3 linked regions of the Notamacropus eugenii genome follow. The protein of the gene in region 1 interacts with the protein of each later gene in a pairwise test. Links are inferred from orthologs where the notes say so. Each region holds a gene or a part of one and is shown on either strand. Other genes may lie near its edges.

Region 1 (7,724 bases):
TTTGCCAATATCCTTTACTTTTTCAGAGTGAACATCACAATAATATTGTTGAGATTCCCAGCTGTCTCTGCATCATGTCTGCACAAGCCAACAGCAGACACAGGAAAAAGTAAAAAACAATTTAAGGAGACAGATAGCTTAGCAGATAAACCGAAAGTTATCAGAGTACACAGAAGCTGAAAACAAAGAAGAAAGCAAGTGAATCAGTTAGAAGATGCTCTTGTTTAGAAAAATGAAGGGAGAAAGGCACAAGGAACTAGAGGGAATCATAGGTTAGAGTTTTACCATTTAAATAAGGGAAAAATGGAAGTTTTTGAGAATTCTATAATTCTCAAATTCTGTAAGCTTTCCTTTATTATTTATTTATTATTTCCTTTGAAATTATCTCATTTGAAAACTGACTAAGTTCTCTCCTTTTCATCAAGGACAAGAAAATTTCCTCATACAAGAATGGAACCATGGATCCCTGTCCCTTTGATAGGCAGTGAAATATCTAGTATGGGAAAGAATAATAAGAATTAGGTACTTACTAGGCCTTGTACTTGACTGAGGTTCCAGAGGAAGCAAGTGGTCCACAGAAAGTGGCTAGAGTGTATGGCCAGTGCTGTGATCCAACAGATCGGGTGGTCCTCCTGATTACCCCATAGGGATTAGTTAAAAGCAACCCTCCAGTTCCTCTCTTTTATAGGTGAGGACCTGTTCCCTAATCACCTGTCCAATGAAAAGTGGCAAATTTAACTTAGGTTTCCTAGACATATTTCCAGAAAGTGAACCCATTTTCCTTCCTTAAATATAAATCAAACTCTGGAAAGAACAGAGAGCCTCTTCCTTCTTAGGCCTCCTTCTACTACAGGGGCCACGTGAATGATTTGAATGTCTATGAGAAGGAAAAAAAGGGCAGAGAGAAATTGTATTTCTCTTCCTCTGACTCTAGATTCCTTTCTAACCCCTTTTCTACTTTACTTGAATAAGTCGACTTGAACTTCAACAAATTAAAAAGGTCACCTAAGCTAAGTGCATTTTGCCGAAGTGAATATCATAATACAAACATGATATTTTATATAAGTCCATAAGTTTCTGCTAAAGACTCTACAACTCTGATTTTGAATGAGCTAGAGATGTAGCCTTAGAGCTCTGAAATCGATGAAAATTAAATCTAAGGAAAGAGTTCTTACCCTGAGATTTCTGAAAAAAAATTAATATTTTGACATCTGTATTCTAATATGGGGGACCCCAAAATCTTAGTAGAGTCTTTAACTTTGATAATTTTGAAACACCTGGCATATTTCTTTCATAATCTTATACATTCTATTTTATTCAGCTTAGCATTATTCTGACAAGGAGTCCATAGGTTTCACCCATCTGTAAAAGGCATCCGTAACATAGTAAAATTTAAGGTTAACACCTAACCTAGGGAATCAGAATGAAATTCTCAGATCATGGAAATATCTTTCTCACATATTCTAGTTTTTACTTTTTCTTCTCTTTGCAACTTTTCCTGCTATAGACACAAACCACAAAACAGGAGGAAATTATTGTTACCTGCTGTTTCTTTTTGGAAGTTTCATGTCGTGGCTTTGCCTGAGTCTCGGTAGCTGTCACCTGGCATAAATAACCTTGCTATCCTCTGACACCAGACAAGCAGAAGATGACACTGTTTTGTCTGCCAGTCTTCATAACATGTACAGGCTGAGGCAGGCTGATAAGGACTCAAGAGAACCATGTGGGAAAAAGATTAGTAAGGCCAAAGACAGAATGAGGCAAAAATGAGAAAATACCGGGGTTTTCAATGGGGCAGCCTAGACTAAACTTACTACCTATGTTGGACTGAGAGCTCCGACTATGTAAAAATACTTTCCACCTTTTTAAATTTAATGTGCAGAGATTTATATGCATCTTGCATTCCTTTGTATTCTGCAAGGTTTCAGTTCAGTTTTTAAAATTCAGTATTGTATTCCTAAAAACTTTTTGCTATACAAGCAGGTCTACTTGCTTTGTTATACATTTCACAAATGTTTGGTGGAATTTCCAGGTTGGCATAGAAGATGGATTATATGATGGCACATAGCACCAAAGCAAAACAATTGAATGTCCAATTACCAATATCTTCTTGCCTTAGGTCTCACCCCATTCCTGGCTTTGGATTCATTTTAGTCTTTTTGTAGCATCTTCCTTGCACTCAGACTACCTTGTTCATTTTTCAAAACTGGGCAAGTCTATATCTGAAGAAAACGGCAAAAGTATGTATAGGGGATACTTTCCATAGACTGGTGTATGTCTCTAGTCAACTCTTTGAAGCCTTTTACGTGAAATGCTTTCAGTACTCATCATTTGACAATGATTCTCTGAATGATATGGAAATGACAGACTTTTGTTTCCCATTGGTTTAGTCTACTGCTTTAACATAGGAAGAAATGATTTCGAAAGAGTGAAAATATAGTTGTTTTATAATAAATAGAAGGTTAGGGTTATATTTATAATTTCAGTTTATGTGACTGTTTTATTCAAAATCAGAAATCCACCTGAATGCTATACCCTTTCCTATTCTCAGACAATGGCAACTGTATCCTGAGAAATTTTTTCTCTAGGATCTGAGCTTCAGTGGGTTAATCTTTAGATTTATAGATTCAGACAACCAGCCCTTGTCCATTTGCTTATTCTCCCTAGAGAAGTGAAATGAAAGTCTAAGGTAGAAACAGGGATAGAGTGCAGGTCTTTAACTTTCTATCTAGTGCTCTTTCCTCTACACCACATTGTTAATATGGATTAATAAATCTCTGGGGGCAAAATTCGTCTTAACAAAGTGGGGTATAGAGAAAGTGGAGTTCTGTGCTACAGGAATAGACTTTTGAAGTGATAGAGGTAGTAAGGGAATTCTTGTCCCTGAACACATTTCCTCAGTTCTGTCTGTTATATTAACTTCTAGTAACAAATTAGACTCTAAGCTTCTTGAAAACAGGATTGTCTTTTGTCTTTGCTTGTATCCCCTAATCAAAGTGTAAGTCAGATGGCTGCAGAGCCTCAATTAGGTTTTGCAATTGGGGCAATTGAGCAGTTATGCTTGGAGAAGGAGGTGCTCTTAGTTAGGTTAGGTTTAACATTCTTCTTTGGGGAGAAAGATAGACACCACCAGGCTGCTCCCAGGGAAACTGTCCATTCATCTCTAGTCATCAGACCATTTGATAACTACTATTAGTTAATTAATAACTAATAAAAAACTGATAACTAATAAAAGTTAGTTAATAATTAACTAGCTATTCTTGATAAAGAGGTGCTATTGTAATTATTTCTACATCTTGGCATCTAAGAAGCATGATTACTGGGTGGAGATGGGGGTGAGGGTGAGGTAGGGGTGAGGGTGGGGGTAGAAGAGAGAAGTGGTAATCCTTACAGAAAATAGATGCTCTTGGGGAGGGGGCTGAAAGGGGGCTTTGAAGGCAACCTCTCCAAAGACTTCCATTATCCTAAAGCATCATTATAGACCTGGGAAAGTCTTTAAAGACCACCTTGTCCATCTTCTTTATTTCAGAGAGAAGACAGAGCCTCGTGTTTGTTATCTCCAATTTGGCTTGTAGATATTTTTGTACATAGGTGAAAGAATGAGTATTTATTAAGCACCTACTACATCCCAGACACGATGCTAAGAATTTCTTACATCTCATGTGATCCTCACAACAATCCTGTGAGGTGGGTACTTGTATTAGCCCTATTTTACAGCTGAAGAAACTGAAGCAAACAGGGTTAAGTGACTTGTCCAGGGTCACACAGCGAGTATCTGCGGTCAAATTTGAACTCAGGTCCACCTTCATCGAGATGGAGAATTGGATAGAGTGCAGGACCTGAAGTCAAGAAGACCTGAGTTCAGATGTGACCTCAGACACTCTCTGTGTGACCCTGGCCAAGTCACTGAACCTTGTTTGTCTCAGTTCCTCATCTGGGGAAGGGGATGGCGAACCCCTCCAGGATTTTTACCAAGAAAGCCCCAGGGGGTCCCAGAGAATCAGACACCACTGGAAAACAGTGACTTCGGGATTCCAGGTCCAGTGGACCTACTAGCTGCCAACACAGTCGTCTGCACGCGGTTTCCCTGGAGAGCTGGGGCTGTCTTAGGGCAGTTGGGGGCACACAGTAGATGCTTAATCAATGCCCATTGACTTGACTTGGCAGGGAAAGGACTAGAATCAGCCAGATTGTTGAAATCCCGCCTCCATGGTCGTTGATCCTGGTCACATTTAGAATATAAATAAAATAATAAATAAAACAAATCCATGAATAAATGAAATGAAATGAAATTGTGCAGGGGGCGTGGCCTGGAGACCTCGGGGGGGGGGGCTTTTAGGCCCGCCTCCATCCCCGCCTCCTTGGGGGCCGGACTCCCCAGCCAGAAGCTCGGGGATGGGCTACGGAAGCGGGATCAAGCCAAGCAGACTGAAGACAGCAGAGTGGGTGGAGGAACTCCAGCGTGGTAGGCGGGACCGACGCCTCACGTGACAGGTCTGCTAGGTCCCGATTGGCTGTCCCGCCGGAAACGGCTCGCCGGTGGCCGCGTCTGCGCAGTGGCGAGGAGCTCCGGGCGTTCTGCGAGGAGCCGGGGGTGAGTTGCGGCGCGTTGGGCCGCCCTAGTGCGCGCGGCGTCGCTGCCTGGTTCCGCTGCCTGGATCCCTTCTCCTCTTCATCCCTCCCCTCCTCGGGGCTCACGTGGCCGGGTGTCGCGGGCCCGCCCGCAGAGGCTTGGTCAGATTCAGAGGCTGCTCACGCGGCGCTTCTGCCTCCGCGGTTCCAGGCCGGGCTCCGGGGCTCGTGGGGGCCCCCTTTCTCCCCGTACTCCCCCAAGCCTTGAGAACCCTGAGGGCAAGGATCGCCCGAGTTCTCCGACCCGGGCACCTTGGCTCCGCGTCTGGCGGCCGGCCCGCGCACGAGGATTTCTGAGCTCGGTGATCGGGGTGGGGACAAGCGACCTACTGAGCGCGGCGTTTTCTTTGTAATCCCTCTTTTATCTCTTACGTTTAAAAACTCGGGTAAAGATCCGCGGCGCGCAGAGGCCGAAGAACCAGTGCCCTCCCCCTCTTCCGATCCCCGGTCTGTGGGCAGAGCGGGAAACTTCACGGCTGGAGGCCCTCAGCCACCCATAGGCACGTAATTGTCACTGTGGATAGACTGGGGAACGTCGGGTCCGGAAGACCTGAGTTTGCATCCTGCCTCGGACACTCACCGGCAGAATGACCCGGGAGGAGTCATTTAACTTCTCTCAGCCTCAGTTTCCTCCCCTGTAAAATGGCACGCAGTTCACCAGGGTGAGGTGAGGATGAAATGATACAGCATGTAGAAAGCGTGTCGTAAACCTTCAGTGCTGTGTAAACGCAAGCTGTCATCATGGGCGAGATTTTTTATATCATCTTTTTCTGACTTGTAAGAGAGCTTTGGGTAAGGAATTTTCTCTACCCGTGGAGATGAGCTACTCCGACTTACATGCCTCCTAACGACACTAATTTGAGTGAAGTGACTCACCCAGGGTGATGAAGCCGGTGTGTATCAAAGTGGATTTGAACCTTCCTGGTTCTGAGGCTGTCTGTACTACTCTGAGGTGCCTCAGCATTCTGTGATCTTAGGATCCCTTTTACAAAGTGAGACAGCCCCTACCTACCCCCAAGGGAGGGGTTTCACCATCCTCCCAGTCACTCAGGCTCACAACCTGGGGTGTGTGTCATCCTCAACCCCCCTCTCTCTCACCCTCACCATATCCAGTCATTCCCAACTCCTGTCATTTTTACCTTCATAAGATCTTTCTTATGCTTTCTCCTTTCTAATGACAGTGTCACCTCTCTAGAGCAGGCCTTCATCACCTCCTGCCTGGGCTATTGGAATAGCTTCCTGGTGCCTCTGCCTGCTTCAGGTCTCCCCACGCAGCTGTCAAAATGATTTTCCTTAAGTGCAGGTCTGACCAGATCACCACCCATATTCAGTAAACTCTGTCATCTCCCCCATCAAGTATAAAATCCTCTTTTTGGCTTTCAGAGCCCTTTATAACCCACCCCTCAGGCACCACCATGGACACACCACTCCCTTCCCCCACTGTCCTTTTCCATCCAGTGACACTGGCTGCCTCGCTGTTCTCTGCACAGGACTCTGCATCTCCCAGCTCTGGGCATTTTCACTAGATGTTTCCCACCCCTGAAATGCTCTTCCTCCTCCTGTCTTGCCCCTCTGACTTCCTTCAGGTCTCAGCTAAAGAAACCTTCCCTGATTACCCTTATGCCAGTGCCTTTCCTTTGTTGGTTCTTTCCTATTTATCCTCCCCATGGCTTGTCTGCACATAGTTGTTGGCTTGTGTCTCCCCCATTAGATAGGGACTGTTTGTCTTTCTTTTGTATCCCCATTACTTAGCACATGCCTGCCAGAGAGTGGGAGGTTAATGCAAGCTTGTTGATTTGACATTCTGCTATATGTCCCTCTTGTCTCCCTCTATATTTTCTTGGTTGTTTGACCCATTTCCAGGAATTCAGTTACCACCTATGCAGATGACTCCCAGATCTGATTAGGTCTGATCTCTGTCTGGGCTTGTGTAGCCTCCTGGATGTGGTCAGTACTTCCAGCTCCAACTTCTACCCCTGTGCTTTGGCATAGCCAGGCTTCCATTTCTGGAACATGTTCTCTCTTCATCTCGTTGTCTTCTCCCAGAAACCTTTCTTACTCATAGTTGCTAATGCTGTCTCCACTGTTTACTTAACCAGTGGCTATTTTATTCTGCGGTAGAACACAAGTCCCTTTAGTTTTTGTATCTTCATCCCTGTTCTTCTCTGAGATAATAATGAAGGCATACTGCTCGGTTTCTTGATAGCATGCACTTAACATTTATTGAATTGTCTTCCCTTCAAAACCCACCTCTCCCAAGTGACAAAATCTACCTCTCTCCTCCCTGTCACCCATAGGTGTTAACTTTATGGTCATCTTAGTGACTGCTAGCAGGGTTCTGTAGTATATAGAGTGTTGGGCCTGGAGTCAGGAAAACCTCAGTTCAAATCCAGCCTCTGACACTTACTAGCTGTGTGACCCTGGGCAAGTCACTCAACCTTGGTTGGTTTCCTCATCTCTGAAATGAGGATAATAATAGTACTTACCTCCCAAGGTTGTTGTGAGATTCATACGGGATAGTTTGTAAAGCATTTAGGATGGCACTTTGCACTAATAGGTCCTTAACAAAGGCTTGCTTCCTTCTTTCATCCTTGATTCCCTTTTCTCCCCTGCTCCTACATTTCTAATCAGCTGTCAAATCATGTTAATTTTATTTAATTTATTATTTTAATTCATTCCCATCTATCTCTGACCATGTCCCCCCTTTACTCAGAAACCCTTTGGTGGAACCCTGTGGTCTCTAGGATGAAATAAGTGCTCATCAGTGAGGCGCTTGAGAGTCCGCAATCTGATTTCACTTTATCTTTCTCCTCTTAGCTTATTTTAGTTACTTAGTTTACTTCCTTTCCTACATTCTGTGATCCAGCCAAACTGGGCTGTGATCTTTCCTCTAGGTCCCCCTTTCCTGGTATCCTGGTATGTGCTCCTTCCTTCCCCTTCTGGCATCCTTGTACTCAAGGCTCAATTCACCTGCCACCTCCTCTGTGATGTGCCCCATCCCAGTTACTGTTTTCTTCCTCCTCATTACTTTCTTGTCTCTTTCCCAGCAAAGTGTAAGTTCTTGAAGGAAGACTTTTTTGATATTTTTCTTA
Region 2 (7,211 bases), on another chromosome or scaffold:
CCCACACAGCTCCTAGTTCTTTCCTCTGGGGACAAATAGAACACATGACTACCCCTCAAATACTTGAACACATGCCTTCCTGAGTCTTCTTTTCTCCAGGGAAAACTGGTCCAGTTCTTTCAACTGATTCTCATTTGTCATAAACTGAAGAGTTCCTTCACCATCCTGATTGCCCTCTTTTGCTCACTTTGCAGCTTACAATGCCCTTCTTAACCCATGGTGCCCAGAACTGGACACAATATTCCAGATGAAGTCTGACAAAAACAGAGTACAGTGGGATTCATTCATCTTAATGTATATCTGGAGTAGGAATGATTGATAAGACAATGAGTTGAGACCAGAAATGAATGGATGGCACTTGAGTAACTGTATAGTCTTTACAAGAAACCCAAAATACTCCCCAGGACAAAAATGCATCATTTTTAACACACTCTCTCATAAGGCTAAATGGTTTGTTTCAAATCTCAAAACACCACAACATCTAAAAAGTCAAAGTTGCAAGTAATTCAAAGGGCAATGAAGAATTGCATGATGGACACAAGAAGCCTGTTCCCAACCATGAAATGTACAAGGCAAAAAGAACATCCAAAAAAATTCTACTTAAAAAAGGTGGAAGGACAATTAGACAAAACCACAAGTTTAGAAATTCTGCACGTTACATTACAATTTCTTTCCTTTGGCAAAAAAGAAACTGATTGATGCCACCATTAAATAGTAGATACCAAAAGTTTTCCTATTTTAACAACATACCAAAATGTCCTTGGGAAAAAAAATCTGCCACAGTTCCAACGGACTGAATACAATAGCTATCGTAACTAATTTGTTTCCTAAAAAGCAAAAATTTATTTTCACTAAAAAAAGAACAGCTGAATCAGGACAAAAGTACTCACAGGAAATATAATCTATAAAGTTGTCTCCTAATTCAAAGGCAAACAGAACTAAAGGCACAGGAAGATGATCCCACATTGGCTTCCTTTTCCTGAGGGTTCCAACTACATTTTCTTGTTTAATTGGCCATGTCCTTCTCTAGGTAAGAGACACGGCAATTGCTCCTTCAGTTGGAATCATAAAACTATGCATGTGGAAAGTGAAAAAAGGAGCAACAGACAGGAAAATCAAGAGAACACAAATACAAACACGCACTATTGGTGATGACCTTATCAAGCCAGGAGACACGAAAATTATTCTTTCTGTTCACAACATAAAACTGTGTGCAGAGGGAAAGGAGGGAAACTGGGAAAGGAAAAGCAACAGAGATGAGAAACCAAACCCATACACGCCTCTCTGGTGGTTCCAGAGAGGGAGATCACAGCAAGAGAATGGATATTAAAACAGGATCCGTGTCCTTCAGTGACACTGGTTTTTGCGAAACCCAGATAAGGATGAGCCAGGGAGAAAAGACTGAAAAACCTATGCCAGTGAGCAGTGAGTAGCTTTGCCAAGAAAACTGGGAAGGTTATGGCTTGGATTATCAAACCCCACCATGACTAGTGGAGGGGTGGGGGGAAGGGGAAGGCTCGTCCGGGAAGGATCCAGCGCCCCCAGCCCCGCAACACGCAGGGGGCGGGGTGGAGAAGAGGGAAGATAAGAGAAGAGGGTTGCTCTTTTCCCAGCCAGGTGTTGAGGCCCGATCAACCTGAAGCCCGATCCTTAAGACACCAAAATCACCCAACAAATCACCCTCGCCCGCCAGGGACTCCTAACTGCAAATCACCGCCAAGGTCTCTTCCTTCCAGGGGCTCCTCTGGGGCCCCGAACGCGCGGAGCCCACCCCTCACTCCGGCCCTGCCCGCCTCGGCGGCGACGAAGGACGACGAGAGAGAGAGAAGGGCAGGGCGCGGGGGAGCCCGGGCTCCGGGGATGGGCAGAGGCGCTGGGGGCCAAAGGCGGCCAGGGGGGTCGCTGCCCAAGTCTCCACCCGGGCGGCCGTGGCTCCCCGACCCGGCCCCGTCACCTCCCAGGGAGATCTCTCTCCCCACACACACACGCGCGCACACACACACACACACACACACACACACACACACAGGCCCCCCCCCCCCCCAGACACACACGCACACACACGCACGCACACACCCGCCGCCTCCACAGCTCCGCGATCCCGTCCTTTCTCTGCTCCTGCCCCCTCCCCCCACGGCCTCAGCCCACCGCCAGCTCGCCTTTCCCCCACCTCATCTCCGGGCGGGATCTGCGCGGTCCCAGGGAGAAATCAGTGCCGGGCACACGCCCCGGGGAGGGATGAAGACGCCGCCGCCGCACCGCACACCATCCCCTCCAGTCCGGGAGCTCTCTCGGGATTCTCCCTTCCGAGCCGCCGTACTCTGGAGCACCCAACTCTATCTATCTATCTATCTATCTATCTATCTATCTATCTATCTATCTATCTATCTATCTATCTATCTATCATCTATCTATCTATCAATCCATCATCTATCTTTCACCCTTCCCTTCAGTCTCGCGCGCTCTCCCCTCCTCCGCCTCGGTCTCTTTCTCTAAACCCCCACTCTACCCCCCAGTCCCGCTTGCACTCTCTCTACCTTGCTCCCCGCCCACAGATGTGGGGGGAAGGGAAGCAACCTCTCAATCCCGAGACTATGGCCCCTCCTACCTCCCGGGAAGGAGGACTCGGACGGTGGGCCGGGCAGGGAGAGGCGGGGAGTGAGAGGGGCGGACTTTTGCACGCCCCGCCTACCCCGGGAAAGGAGGAGGGAAATAATGACATCCAAATGGACCAATAGGAGCTCGGATTTGGAAGTTGGGGGGGTGGGCTCCGCGGCCAGAAGGGAGGGAGGGTTGATGTTAGGAACTGGGCGGGCTGGCATGGGTTGGGCTTTTCGGTGTAATCATTGCACAATCTCGGCCTTTTCACCTTATGTGATGCTGTCACATGCTACGTGGTGCCAGACTGAGTCTCTCTCTATGCTCCGTCACGGTAGCTATTAAATATATTTAGCTGGAAGGGACAGAAAAACCGCCATCGCCCAAAGGCAAGAAGGGCCTGGGGCTCAAGGGAGGGGCGGGGGATTAAGAAGGGCGTCTCCTTGACGACTCACTCAATTTGCATGAAATGGTCGCCTGAATCATGAGACCACAATGCCCAACATGCTTTCGTGAGCAAAGTCCTTCCCTCGCTTGCCGTGGCTCCTGGTGAAGCATGCTGGGAGACGTAGTCTCTTTTAGTTACCGTAGCGCTTTCCTTCCCACGCTACAAGCTGTAGCTGATAGACAGAGGGTATAGGGCCAATGGGGGCAAAGTGTTGGGTTTAGGGGCGGGCTTTAAAACGGAATGACCCGGGACTGAAGAGGACGTGGGGAGTGTGGGTTCCCAATTCTACTCAGGTATGTATCTTCAGCCACCTTACAGTCCTCCTTTCTGGCATGAGGAGGAAGTAGGTTACCGGGCTCGTGACGCGGCGTGGAGACTTTTGGGGAGGGAGGACGGCGGCCCGAAGCCGTTGACCGCCACGGCCCTAGTCCAGTGTTTGGGCCCCGACAGAGCGGACGCGAGTGACGAATTGGCGTTTACGGCAGATTTTTTCTCGATTTCGAACTAGAAAAGATCTGGGAGACCATTTAGTGCATGCACACATGCACACCCCTTACGGACGAGGAAACAGAGCCGGGGGAGTTAGGAGGCCCCATCTTGTTTGGTTTCCCCTTTTCCGCGGAAGAAAGCCTGGTGTATTTTCGGTTTGGACCTTGTCCGCTAGGGGGCGCGGTGGATCGTGTTGTCCCTGGCCTCGGGAGGACCTGAATTCCAATTCTACCTCCCACGTTTTCTGGCCTTGGGACCACCCGGGGCAAACGCCTTCGCCTCCGGTTTCTCAGCTCTAAAATGGGAATCGCCATAGCACCTTCCTCCCTGGGTGGTTGTGAGAATCGAATCAATCAGATATTTGTAAAGCATTTGGCCCCGTGCCTGGCATATAGTAAGTACTTAATAATGTGGGGGGGTTTTCCCTTCAACTTTTGTTTGCTTGTGATTCGAATAAAATTGAATTAACTTTTTTTCACCCTCTGTGGTCAATTGGCAGTATGTTGTTAGTATGGCATCTTAAATAGGTCCCCTTATCTCTTTGAGTCTCAGTTTCTTAGACAAAGGGATCGAGCTGTAAATGTTCCCGCAATGGGTGATTCTTTTTTATTGCCTCCTTGACTTAGGTTGTGTGACGTTTGAGAGCTTTTTTTTTTTTGCAGTCATCATTAACCAAAAGTCACAGGACCCCTATATAGCCTTGTTGTAGAGTGTATTATAATGGTCTAATACTGGGGGTGGGGGGGTTCCAGTCCTCACTTGTGATCTTTGTGTACAGAATTCTCTTTGTGAAAACTTTCCCAACTGATAGAGACGTCAGTCTTCTTCCTCAGTCTTGAAAGTTGGTTGGGGGAGTAAGGAAACAACTATTTATATTAGGTGATTACGCTATGCCAGGCACTGTGCATATTATCATCGAATATGAGGCTGGATTTGAATTCAGATCTTTCTCCCTCCAAGCCTAGCACCCTTATCCACTGCATCACCTGGTTGCCTTGCTGCTGGGAGCATTAAGAATTTAAGTGACAATCCTCATCCAATCACAGTTACTATGTATCAATTCTCTGTATATTTTAGAAATGAGACTTTTGTCAGAAACATTGTTTCCCAGCTTTCTGCTTTCCTTCTAATCTCGATTGCTTTGACTTTGTGCAAAAACTTTTTCATCTAATGTAATCAAAATTATCCATTTTGCATTTCATAATGTTTTCTATCTTGTTTGGTCATAAATTCTTCCCTTCTCTGTAGATCTGATAGATAAACTATTCCTTGCTCTCTTAATTTGCTTATGGTATCACCCTTTATGTCCAAATCATCGTACTTAGTGTGTGTACAGAGGCACTAACCACTGACTTTAGAATTTTCCTTGACCAGAGAGGTTTGTTGCCCGTCAGTGTTGACTTTGTTGGATATGTGGTTCTTTTGTCTCTAGTGTTTTTGTTTTGTGCCACTTCATGCCCCTCTGCTGGTGTTTGTCTGAATTGTTTTTGTATTTTTCTTTCCTTACCTCTTAGTAGTGCACTATTCCTTATCATCCCTATTTTTTATGCCATATTTGTTAGGTTTTACTTGATTGTTTAACGTATACATTGTTTCCAGTATTTTATTAGAAAAATAATACTTTGAGAAAAGGTTTTATGCATGGGGCCTTTAGTTTCCATCACTACCCCTGGAGTACCAATCTGAGTCAAGGGGTATTCACAATTAGGTAACTTTTCTAGCATAATTCTAAATTATTTTCAAGAATAGTTGAACGCCTTTACAGCTCTACCAACAGTGAAATAAGCATACCATTTTCCTACAGTTCTTTTAACAATATATTTTCCAGTCATTTAGCAGCTCAGAAATCAGTTTTTGAAGACCCGTATATTATGCAATAAGACTACTCACTATATAAGCCTAAACAGTCTGGCGCACAAGATTTTCATCCTGAGATTTCCTTTACCTCATTTACAGTTATGCTTAATTTCTCCTTACATATATGTATTCATCACCCAATTTCTGCTATAGACAAGTATTTCTGATCTTTAGCTTACAAAATGAGAGCTAGAGGTATGGACAAAGTATTATGCTAAAAATGGAAACTGTGGCATAAACCTGGTCAGCAGTGTTCTTTGTAAAAAACTGGACTGCCTCTAGTTTAAAGTACAATCATTTATATAATTTTGCCACTTTCTTCTGGAGTCAGATACTATGTAGGAAAATATACTTGAGAAACTGATAAAACTGTTCCACTCATAATCAGAAATAGACTAGATTTATTTTTACTAGGTGTTTATTGCTTTGAATAGCAAAAAAAGTATATAAAAATTCTTAAACTAATACTTGGCTGCAAATTAGAAAGTCTAGAGTGCAAATTCTGCCTCAGCTTACTCACTATATTACCTTAGGCAAGTCACTTAACTTCCATGAACCTGTTTCCCCAAATATAAAATTGGTATAATAATAGTGCCTACTACACTGGGTTTATATAAATCTCAGATTTTACTTGGTAATGCTGAATTACCAGTTTAGTAGTGAATCTGTAATTCAATAATTGTGTGATAGCAAACACCTTCTTTCCCCCTTTGAACTGTACATATGGATTTCAAAGATGTTATTAGACTCAAAAATTCCATCTGTTCAGTGAACATTTTTATCCAAAGAAAAAGAATTTTCTTGGGAAAGAAATAATTTAAATACAAACAAGTCAGAGTATGAGCATGTGGCATGTGAATTATTTTCAGTTTTCATTAATTATAAAAATATTTATTTGACCATTTTTACCTACTGAAAGTTTTTCATTCCTTTGTAAATATTTTGTCATTCTTATAACTCATTTTTGCAACCCAAACAAGAGAATTAAATTATTTCCTCTTACAGTAAGCTAAGAATTAAAATCAGAAGTCTTGAACCACATCCATGTTAGATGCTTCTGGGAGATTGAAAAGGTTTATTAGCTTTGCTTTGATAACGCTGATGAATCTATGATTTCATTGAAACAGGTATTCTAACAGTACAAATTGCAGCCCATCTGTAACCTCTCAGCCTATGCTACTCTTGTCTGTGACCGTCCATAAATTCTCCTTAGAAAAGAACCAAGCATTCTGGGGACTTTCTTCTCTTTCTCTTGATACTTCATGAATACCAGTACAGCACTGGAGCTGGTCAGTTAATATCCTTCATTATATGGACCCATCTCTTTTTCCAGTTAGACACCTTTTGGATGATCTCCTTCATGCCATTTCTTAAGAATGGCCTTCATTGGCATGTAAAGTTTACTCGTACTCCCCTTGTGCCTGTACATTTCCTTTGGGTAACCCCAAATTTTAATTCTTCAGAGACTTTAGTATCCCATGACTCAACGCTGCTGTATAGCATCAACAGAAAATTAGTGGTATTAAAAAGATGCTGTTCTCTGAAATATTAAAAGCCCTGAACAGTTCTTCAAAGGCAGTCCAACTAGCACCTCCAATTCAGTTCTGGACCCAATTCATTGTCCTTCTGCATTGTTTGCCCAAAATATATGCACTAATGAACCAGTTTAACAGGTGGTCCATTATTGTAGTCTGAATAATAAGCATTTTTTGTACACTTAGTCTCTCAATATGAATAATTAAGTCAAACTCTTGAACACTTATAGATCTCCTAAATGAAATGTATAATGTCATAAATACTAAATTCCTACCAATTACTA
Region 3 (7,574 bases), about 260 Mb from region 1:
CCTTGCACCCATCCAGGAAGGACACCACCAGCCACCCTCCCAGTCCAAAACTGCCACCAAGCCAAACTCCTCTCTTCACTCTCGTCAGCCCATCCAGACAATCACCCAGTCCTGTCAGTGCTACCCTCAAAACTTTTCTCCAAACTGTCTCTTCCTCTGCAGGCACAGAAATCACCCTAGCTTAGGCTCTCAGTACTAACAGTGCCTTAACATTTGCAAACCACCTTATGTGTTGTCTCCTCACCTGGACTACTGCAGTAAACTAAGTGGTTTCTATTTCCCTTTCCAACCCATCCTAGAGAGGACAGGTCTGATGCATCTCCCTGCCAAGGACTTTTCATGACTCTTTAGGACAGAATACAAACTCTTCTGTTGAGCACTGCAAATCCTTCCCAATGGTTTCACCTAACCTTGCCAGGCTGATGATACATTACCTATTCTAGCCCACCTGGCCTCCATGCTTTTCGTGACAATCTCTGCCTGCCTTTGCCAGGTTACCCAATCTTCCCTGCACAACCACTTTGTGTTTACTTGGGATAATAGATTTAAACCTGCAAGTGACCTCAGAAGCCAATTAGTCCTACCCTACTTCATTTCTCAGGTGAGGAAACGGAGGTAGGAAAGGGTTAAGTGCCTTGCCCAGGGTCAGAGAGCTAATGAGTATCTACCTAGGATCTGAATCAATCCTCCTGAATCCTACCATTCTGCCTAGTAGACAGTACCTGGGCACATACTAGGTAATTAATAAAGAAGTTGAATAATCATTCACCTAACAAGCAGTTCATTAAGACTGTCTAATGTGAGAGATACCCACTCTGCCTCCCAACCCTATAGGAGGTGGCATGGGGGGGGGGGGGGGGGAACAAACACCAAAAAGGCCTGCAACAAGGAAATGGAATGCCTAGTTAAGGGAACTTCAAGTAGGTCAATCTGGTTGAAAAGTGGAATGTGTCAAGGGTAATAAGAATTTCAGTCTAGAGTGGCATCTGGCAAAGCTTTAAATACCCAAATGAGTTTGTGTTTTATCCTAATAGGAATAAGGGACCAACCAATGAAGGCTGCTGAGCAGAACAGGGCAGATCAGACGTGTGCTCAAAAGAAGCTTCTTCTGGCAGCTGTTTGAAGGATGCCTCGGCATAATCATGGATATCCACTATCCCTGAAGTTGGAATTCATTATAATTAAGGATTGCTGGGTAAATTTGTTTGGCATCTCAGAGAAGTAGAATTTGAGGAACAGGATGTACTGTAATCTTGCCCCTCCTCTTAAAGATGAGTAAATGATGACCCTGGAAAGGTGAAATCACTTGGCTAAGACTCCACAGCATGGCACATCAGGAAGAGAGATGCTGAGCCCCAGGCTTTCCCCATTTCATCCTACTGTACTAGCAGTGATTGTTCAGAGAAACAAGGAGGCTTCTAAAATGCCTCCTCTGCACAAGATCTAGGAGAACCTCAGCCAAGCAGGGCACAGAGCAAGAAGGCTGGGAAAGGGTGCGACAGGGCCTCCACTCCACTGTGTCCCAGTCCAGTTGGGGAAACTACCTCCTGAAGGAATTCCTGGCATGTTTTGTCTACCCCTTTATGCTCTCTTTGTAACAGAGGATGAGTCCCAAACTCCTGGGCTTCTGTCATGCTTTTAGCAACGCCTGGTTAGCAGGCAAGAATAAGCAAGGTGGACCGACAGCGTGAAGGAAAGCTAGAGAGAGGAAACCAGGGCGGGACAGGAATTAAAAGACCAGATTGTAGAGACAAAGCCTGGGCAGGAAAAAAGGGGGGGAGGGGGGAGAAGACAAATGGCAAGGGTGAAGATCGAAAAGGCTGAGAAAACACAAGGGAATAAGATGGAAAAGAGGAAAACCTGCGCTCAACTAGAGCATTACTTCTAATTTAGGTGCATATTAAAAAAATTAGTACTTGCCAAAAAAACAAGACCAATCCTCCCGGCTTTTGTGCTTTTTCCTCCAAAGCAGCCGACAGCCACAAACTGTGTTTATTTTTTTACAGTTAATCATGGCGAGTGAAGAACACGATTTCTATAAAAAAGGCCCGATTTCAGTAATCAGATATGAGCAGGAAATTAATAATTGCCCGGAAGTCCTTAATCCGAAGGCCTATCTAAGCCAGTTAACGCGGACGCTGCCTTCCACAATCACCGAGACTCAGGAAAGGAAAGCGCAGCGTTCGGTTTACCTCCCTTCCGAGGATCCACAGCCCGGGGCTAGGGATCCGCCCCCAGGACGCCCCCAGGGGCAAAGGAAACCTTATCTGCGCCCGCCATCGCCCCCCCCCGCCCCAATCCCCCTCGTCCCCCATTCATTCAACTCTCACAAGAACATCAAAGGACTTTTTCGACCCAACCAAACTCGAACCATTCGCGGCCCTCTAATTACCCCCCCATCCTGACGGTGACCTCGGCAGATCCTTCCCCTTTGGATAAAGCCTCGGGTCCCCCCCTCCCCCTCCAACCTTCGATCCCAGGCCTCGACCCCCAAGGAGACTGAGCCCCCCCAACTCCCGGACCAGCGTAGACTGGGCCCAACCCGGGATGAGGGAGGGGGGAAGCTCCGGAAATGTGCAAAGGGGGCGGGGCTTCACGCCCCCGGGCTGACCTCTCCGACCCTCGTCTTCGCTCCCGCTCCCCTTCCCCCTTCCGTTCCCCCCCCCCCCCCCGCAGGGCTCCGACCAGGCCTGAGTCTCCCGAGGGGCCACCGCGACCCCCCCCCACAATTACACGGGTTCCTCGGTCCCAGGCCTCGTCCAACCAGGCCCCGAGCCAAGGGGAGCCGCCCCAGCCAGGAGGGGAGGGCAGGCGGGGAGGGGGGGGGCCGGACCAACTCCAGACAGGGGTTCGAATCCGCATCATTCACGGCCTCCAGGAGCCCAGACTCGGAGGCTGGGGGGGATCCCAAACTAGACTGAGGGGAAGAAAGCACCTCGTGGCCCCTCAGGGACTCTCGGACGCCCGGCTCCGCCTCCGCCCTCGCAGGACCCGCCGAGGACAATGGCCTCAGCAGGCCCCACCTGGCAGGGGGAGGGGGAGCGATAGGGCGGAGGCGGGGCCACAGCGGGGCGGGGCTGACACCTTCACCTAGCCCGGCGGCGGCGGCGGCGGAAGCCCCGCCCCCCGGCCCCGCCGGCCAATCCGAGCGCGCCGCCGCCGAGCCTGCGCTCGAGTCCCAGGACAGGGCCCAGCCGGCGCGCGACCCCAGCTCGGCCCCGGCCCGAGCCCAGAGCGCGCGACCCCTGTCGCCCCAGCCAATCAGGGAGGGGTGAGAAGCAAGGACACCCCCCCCCCCTCCCCCACCCCTACCCCTACCCCCCCAACACACGCACGCACACCTCCCTCTCTCCGCTAACTCCGGCGCGCGCGCGCAGGGCCTTCTCCGCCCCCAACCCCCATGCTCCGCGCGCACTTCCCCACGCGCGCGTCCCCGAGGCTCGCGCGTCCAACCGTCGCCCCTCGCAACCCCCCCACCCCGCCCCCACCCCGGGGCCCGGAGCCCGGGACCCGAGGCGGGGGGAGTCGACGGTCACCCCCACACACAATAACCACCCCTCCGTTAAACTGCCCCCGTGTCTGTTCCGCGGCAGCGGAGGAGGTGACGACCGCGGCCCCGAGCTAGGCCAGGCTGGGCCCGGCAGGGCCGAAGGGGCCTCGGACTCACCCGATGCAGCGGCAGCCGCGGTAGCAGCAGCAGCGACGGCGGGGACGGCGGCGGCGCCGGGCAGCCCCGAGGCGCGGAGAGAGGAGGCGGGGGAGGGCTCGGGGCGCCGATCAGGCCGAGCCGGGGGCGGGGGCGTCCGGTCTCGCTCACGGGCTGGCCGGTCCTGCCTGCGCCTGGGGCTGGGGCTGGGGCCGTCGCTGGCGCCGTCGCCGCCGCGCTCCTGTCACCGCCGCATGGCCGCCCCCGGCAGGGCCCACGCTCCGCGCACAGCTGGCCTGAGCGCCCGAAAGGCGGAGGAGCAGAGCGCGGCGGGCGGGAGGCGGCCGGAGAGGGGGCGCGCGAGGTGGGGGCCCGCGGCGGTCTGTGGCCCCTGTTGTCCGCTCTCCTCCTCCTCCTCCTCCTCCTCCTCCTCAGCTCGCTCTTTTTTTTTTTTTTTTTTTTTTGTTCCTAGAGAGCCCGCTGCGCATGCGCACCCGCCGCACCGCACCGCGGGAGTCGTAGTCTTCCGGGCCTTGCCCACCAGGCCGAGGGCGGCGGGGCCGGACTACGACTCCCAGGGTGCACCGCGAGGGCGAGCCCCGAACTCGGGGACGGGGCGAGAGCGAGCGGCGCTGGCCCGCCCGGACGAGGGCTGTCAATGGAGGAGCAGAGCAGGAGGAGCCGGGGACGAACATGGCTGCGGCTGCTGCTGCTGCAGCTGCACCTGGGGCCTGCTCGGCTGCACAGAAGGGGGGGGGGGGCGAGGGGGAGGGGAACCCCGGCTCGGCTGTGCTCGGCCCTGCTCGACCCTCGCGTGGCCGCCCCGCTCCTCCCGAGGCCCCCACGGCCGCTCCCCGACACAAAGAGCGGCTCCCGCCGCTGCGGCACGACGGGGCCTCCGGGGCCGGCGCGCCCCCGCCCGCCCGGGCACCACCAAGTTTAGAAAAGAAGGAAATCAAGTAATGCGAGCTTGCGCGCCGGGCCGAGGCCTGCGCCCCGGGCTCGCGGGCCTCCCTTTGTGCGGCCCCGGCCCAAGAACGTGGCGAGCGGCAGCCCGGCGGCCGAGCGCCCGGCCAGGCCCGCCGGGCTCCAGCCTGCCCCGGGCCCCGGGCCCTGAGCCTCGAGCCTCGAGGAGCGTGCGCGGCCCCCAAGCGGGACGCGGGATCCGGGCCCCGCAGCGCTCCCTTTTCGTTACCCAACCCAGGCGTCCGCTTGGCCTCGGTTTGTCCGTCTGTGAAATGGCCCAAGGGCAGCTCTGAAGGCGAGCTCGAGTGGCCGGGTCGTGGGCGCTGGACCTGGGCCGTCCTCAGAGTGGTTACCGTGCCCGCCTCGCCAAAGTAAATCAGCGATTGCTCTAAGTTGTGGATTTCTGAAAGGGAGTGTGGACGAGCTTGCTCCCTCGGCCAGCGTCGTGTTTACTTATAAACACCTCAGTAAGAGGCGAAAGTAGCAGCTCTGGCTTTTACCTTGATGTCCCCGTGCCTAGCGCGGTGCCCGGCCTCCATCGGGCACTGGACACAGCCCGGCTGGCCCGTCCGGGACGAGGGCTGGTGCCCCATGGACCTGCCCCGGGGTTGGCTTGGTTGGTTTTTTTTCCGGAGGTGATTTCCAGGCTTGCTCTCAAACGAGATAAAGACACCGCCTGCTGTCTCAGTGAAGGCAGCGCTGCGGGGCGAGGGTGGGCCTGCTAACGCTGCCGCTGTGACGGCCGGGGGTCCTTTGCTGCACCGCTCTGGGGGGGCCGCCTCCCCAGATCCCCGCAGGAACCTTTCAGATTACCGGAGGCGGCTGAGACAAAATCTCCCGAGAATTAGAATTTGAAAATGGATTTGCAGGAAGATAAGATTTAAATCCCGCACTGCCGTGTCCCATTGGGTGGATCATGCACAGGTAGCAGATGTGGCACAACATTATGAAGAGTGCGGTTGGAGAACCGGGAAAACGAGCCTGCACTGTGAAGTTACGGAAAGGAAAAGCCTAGTTCTCCATGTTCAACCCTTGACGTTTACTCTCCTGCATGGACTGGGCTTCCTCTCAAGCTTTCCGAATTGTTCCAGCTCTGAGTTCCTTTATTCCAGATCTGCAATATACATATGCACATATAAGTAGTTTCACATACACTCGCGTCTGAAAATGCCTTTTGTTCTGATAAGGCACGCTGGTTGTGGCGTGTGAAGAGCTGGTAATTGACTAGGTTCTCGTGTGAAGAGCTGGTAATTGACTAGATTGGTTCTGCAAGCACTCACTGAGCCCCTCCTAGATGCCAGTCATTGCCCTGCACGCTCGGGATGCAGAGACCAAAAGAAAGGGAATACCCCTTGCCCTCAGAGTTCTCACCCTGGACACTGGACAAGCAACACATAAACAGAAAAGTAAATACCAAACACATGTAGGTGTGCACAAATAGAAAATGTACACCAAGCTCCAACTCCGATAGAACAAGTTGGAGAAGCTTCAAAGAGATTGGTTTAGATCTACCTGGTGAAAGGTACTTGCTTCCTCCGTGGTTAGGGGAACTCAGAGAGAGACCTGTAACCTGCGATGAAGTTGAAAGGGGGGGGGGGGGGGAAGTTTCTTAGGAAATATTGAGGAGAAGTCAAATAGAGAAGGATCTGGCCCAGAAAAGATAAAAGAGATCCAGTACCAATGAAATCCCTAAAACATTCATTCAATGCACAAGACCCTTTACTAAGTGTTGTGGGGGATACAAGGCGCTTAAGACATGTTCCATATCCTCCAGAAGCTTGAAATATAATAAAGACAAAAGACATAATTAAGGATACAAGGTTCACCAGAATAAATGCCCTAAGAATTAGAAACAAGTAAATAGGGGAGTTTTGAGGAAGGAAAGATTACTTCTGTTTGAGTGATAGGGAAGGCCTCCTTCCAGAGACAGCATTTAAGCTAGGTCTTGAAGGACAGAAGTTCTGCTGTCTAAGAATGTGAGCAGCAGGCCCGCCCTACAGTGTCCTGTCTCTCACCTCTTTTCAGTTCAACCCTATTCCCCAGGCCTACTTTAGCCCTGCCCACTTCTCTCAGTTCATTCCATGGTGCCCTTTGGATTCTCCACCATAGACATCATTCTGACAAACTTCCCTTTATCCTCAGTTTTTGCCTTGAGTGCTCTTTCAGCCTCTTTAATTGAAACCAGGTTTTCCCCGGAGGACACCAAAGCTCTCATAACTCTCTCGGTTAGAGGCCTCTTTCCTAGTCCCCCAGACTTATACTACTACCAGGAGGAGGGCTTACCATATTTATTCCTTTTAATTCAGTTCAATTATCGTTTGTTAAGCACCTACTCTGTGCAAGGAACCATGTGCTAGGAAAGTACCTGCCCACAAAGACTTTCCATTCTGCTGGGCCAGGAGGGACAAGAAGGCTATAAAATATAAACAGATTGTGGCACATAGTAAGCCCTTAAGAAGTGTTTATATTGATCTTAAATTAGAAAAGGCTTTCTAGAGAAGGTGACACTCGACCCAAACTTTGAAAGAAGCCAGGAATTCTAAGAAGTGGGAATGAAAAGGGGGAGCCTTCCCTGTTCAAGCCCAGTGGGGAGACCTGTCATGTCATGTCTGGGGAACAACATATTAGCCAATCTGGCTAGAAAAGTAAGCAAGAAATGATATTAAATAAACCTAGAGACATATGGTGAAGAGTTTTAAATGTCAAACAAAGGTATATGTATCTCCAGGGACAATAGGGAGCCCCTGGAGGCTTCTGAGCAGGGAAGTGACTTAGTAAAGTCCAACTGACAGTTGTGTTGAGAATGGATGCAAGAGACTGGAAGAGACAGACCATTTGGAAAGCTATTCCAGCAGACAGGTGAGAAGTGATGAGAGCCTAGACTAAGATGTTGACCAGGTAACTGGAGACAGACAGGAGAAAGAAAATCTATTCAGTGTTAGAATAAATGAAATTCGAGGAT

Evidence for each region. The genes of interacting proteins can lie anywhere in the genome.
Region 2: the proteins of AP2B1 (region 1) and ITSN1 interact in binary tests that used the Homo sapiens proteins (3 or more experiments, as listed by UniProt). The link is inferred for Notamacropus eugenii from reciprocal best matches to the Homo sapiens genes AP2B1 and ITSN1.
Region 3: the proteins of AP2B1 (region 1) and GTF2I interact in binary tests that used the Homo sapiens proteins (3 or more experiments, as listed by UniProt). The link is inferred for Notamacropus eugenii from reciprocal best matches to the Homo sapiens genes AP2B1 and GTF2I.

Annotation. Positions count from the first base shown.
Region 1 is NC_092873.1:307,739,011-307,746,734, reverse strand, and holds the start of AP2B1 (AP-2 complex subunit beta), read left to right. Parts: upstream 1-4,512; 5' UTR 4,513-4,594; intron 4,595-7,724. UniProt on the Homo sapiens protein: Component of the adaptor protein complex 2 (AP-2). Adaptor protein complexes function in protein transport via transport vesicles in different membrane traffic pathways.
Region 2 is NC_092876.1:425,621,645-425,628,855, forward strand, and holds the start of ITSN1 (intersectin-1), read right to left. Parts: upstream 3,001-7,211; 5' UTR 2,870-3,000; intron 2,849-2,869; exon of another isoform or gene 2,171-2,848; intron 1-2,170. UniProt on the Homo sapiens protein: Adapter protein that provides a link between the endocytic membrane traffic and the actin assembly machinery. Acts as a guanine nucleotide exchange factor (GEF) for CDC42, and thereby stimulates actin nucleation mediated by WASL and the ARP2/3 complex.
Region 3 is NC_092873.1:48,620,408-48,627,981, forward strand, and holds the start of GTF2I (general transcription factor II-I), read right to left. Parts: upstream 3,001-7,574; 5' UTR 2,936-3,000; intron 2,036-2,935; 5' UTR 2,015-2,035; coding exon 1,921-2,014; intron 1-1,920. UniProt on the Homo sapiens protein: Interacts with the basal transcription machinery by coordinating the formation of a multiprotein complex at the C-FOS promoter, and linking specific signal responsive activator complexes.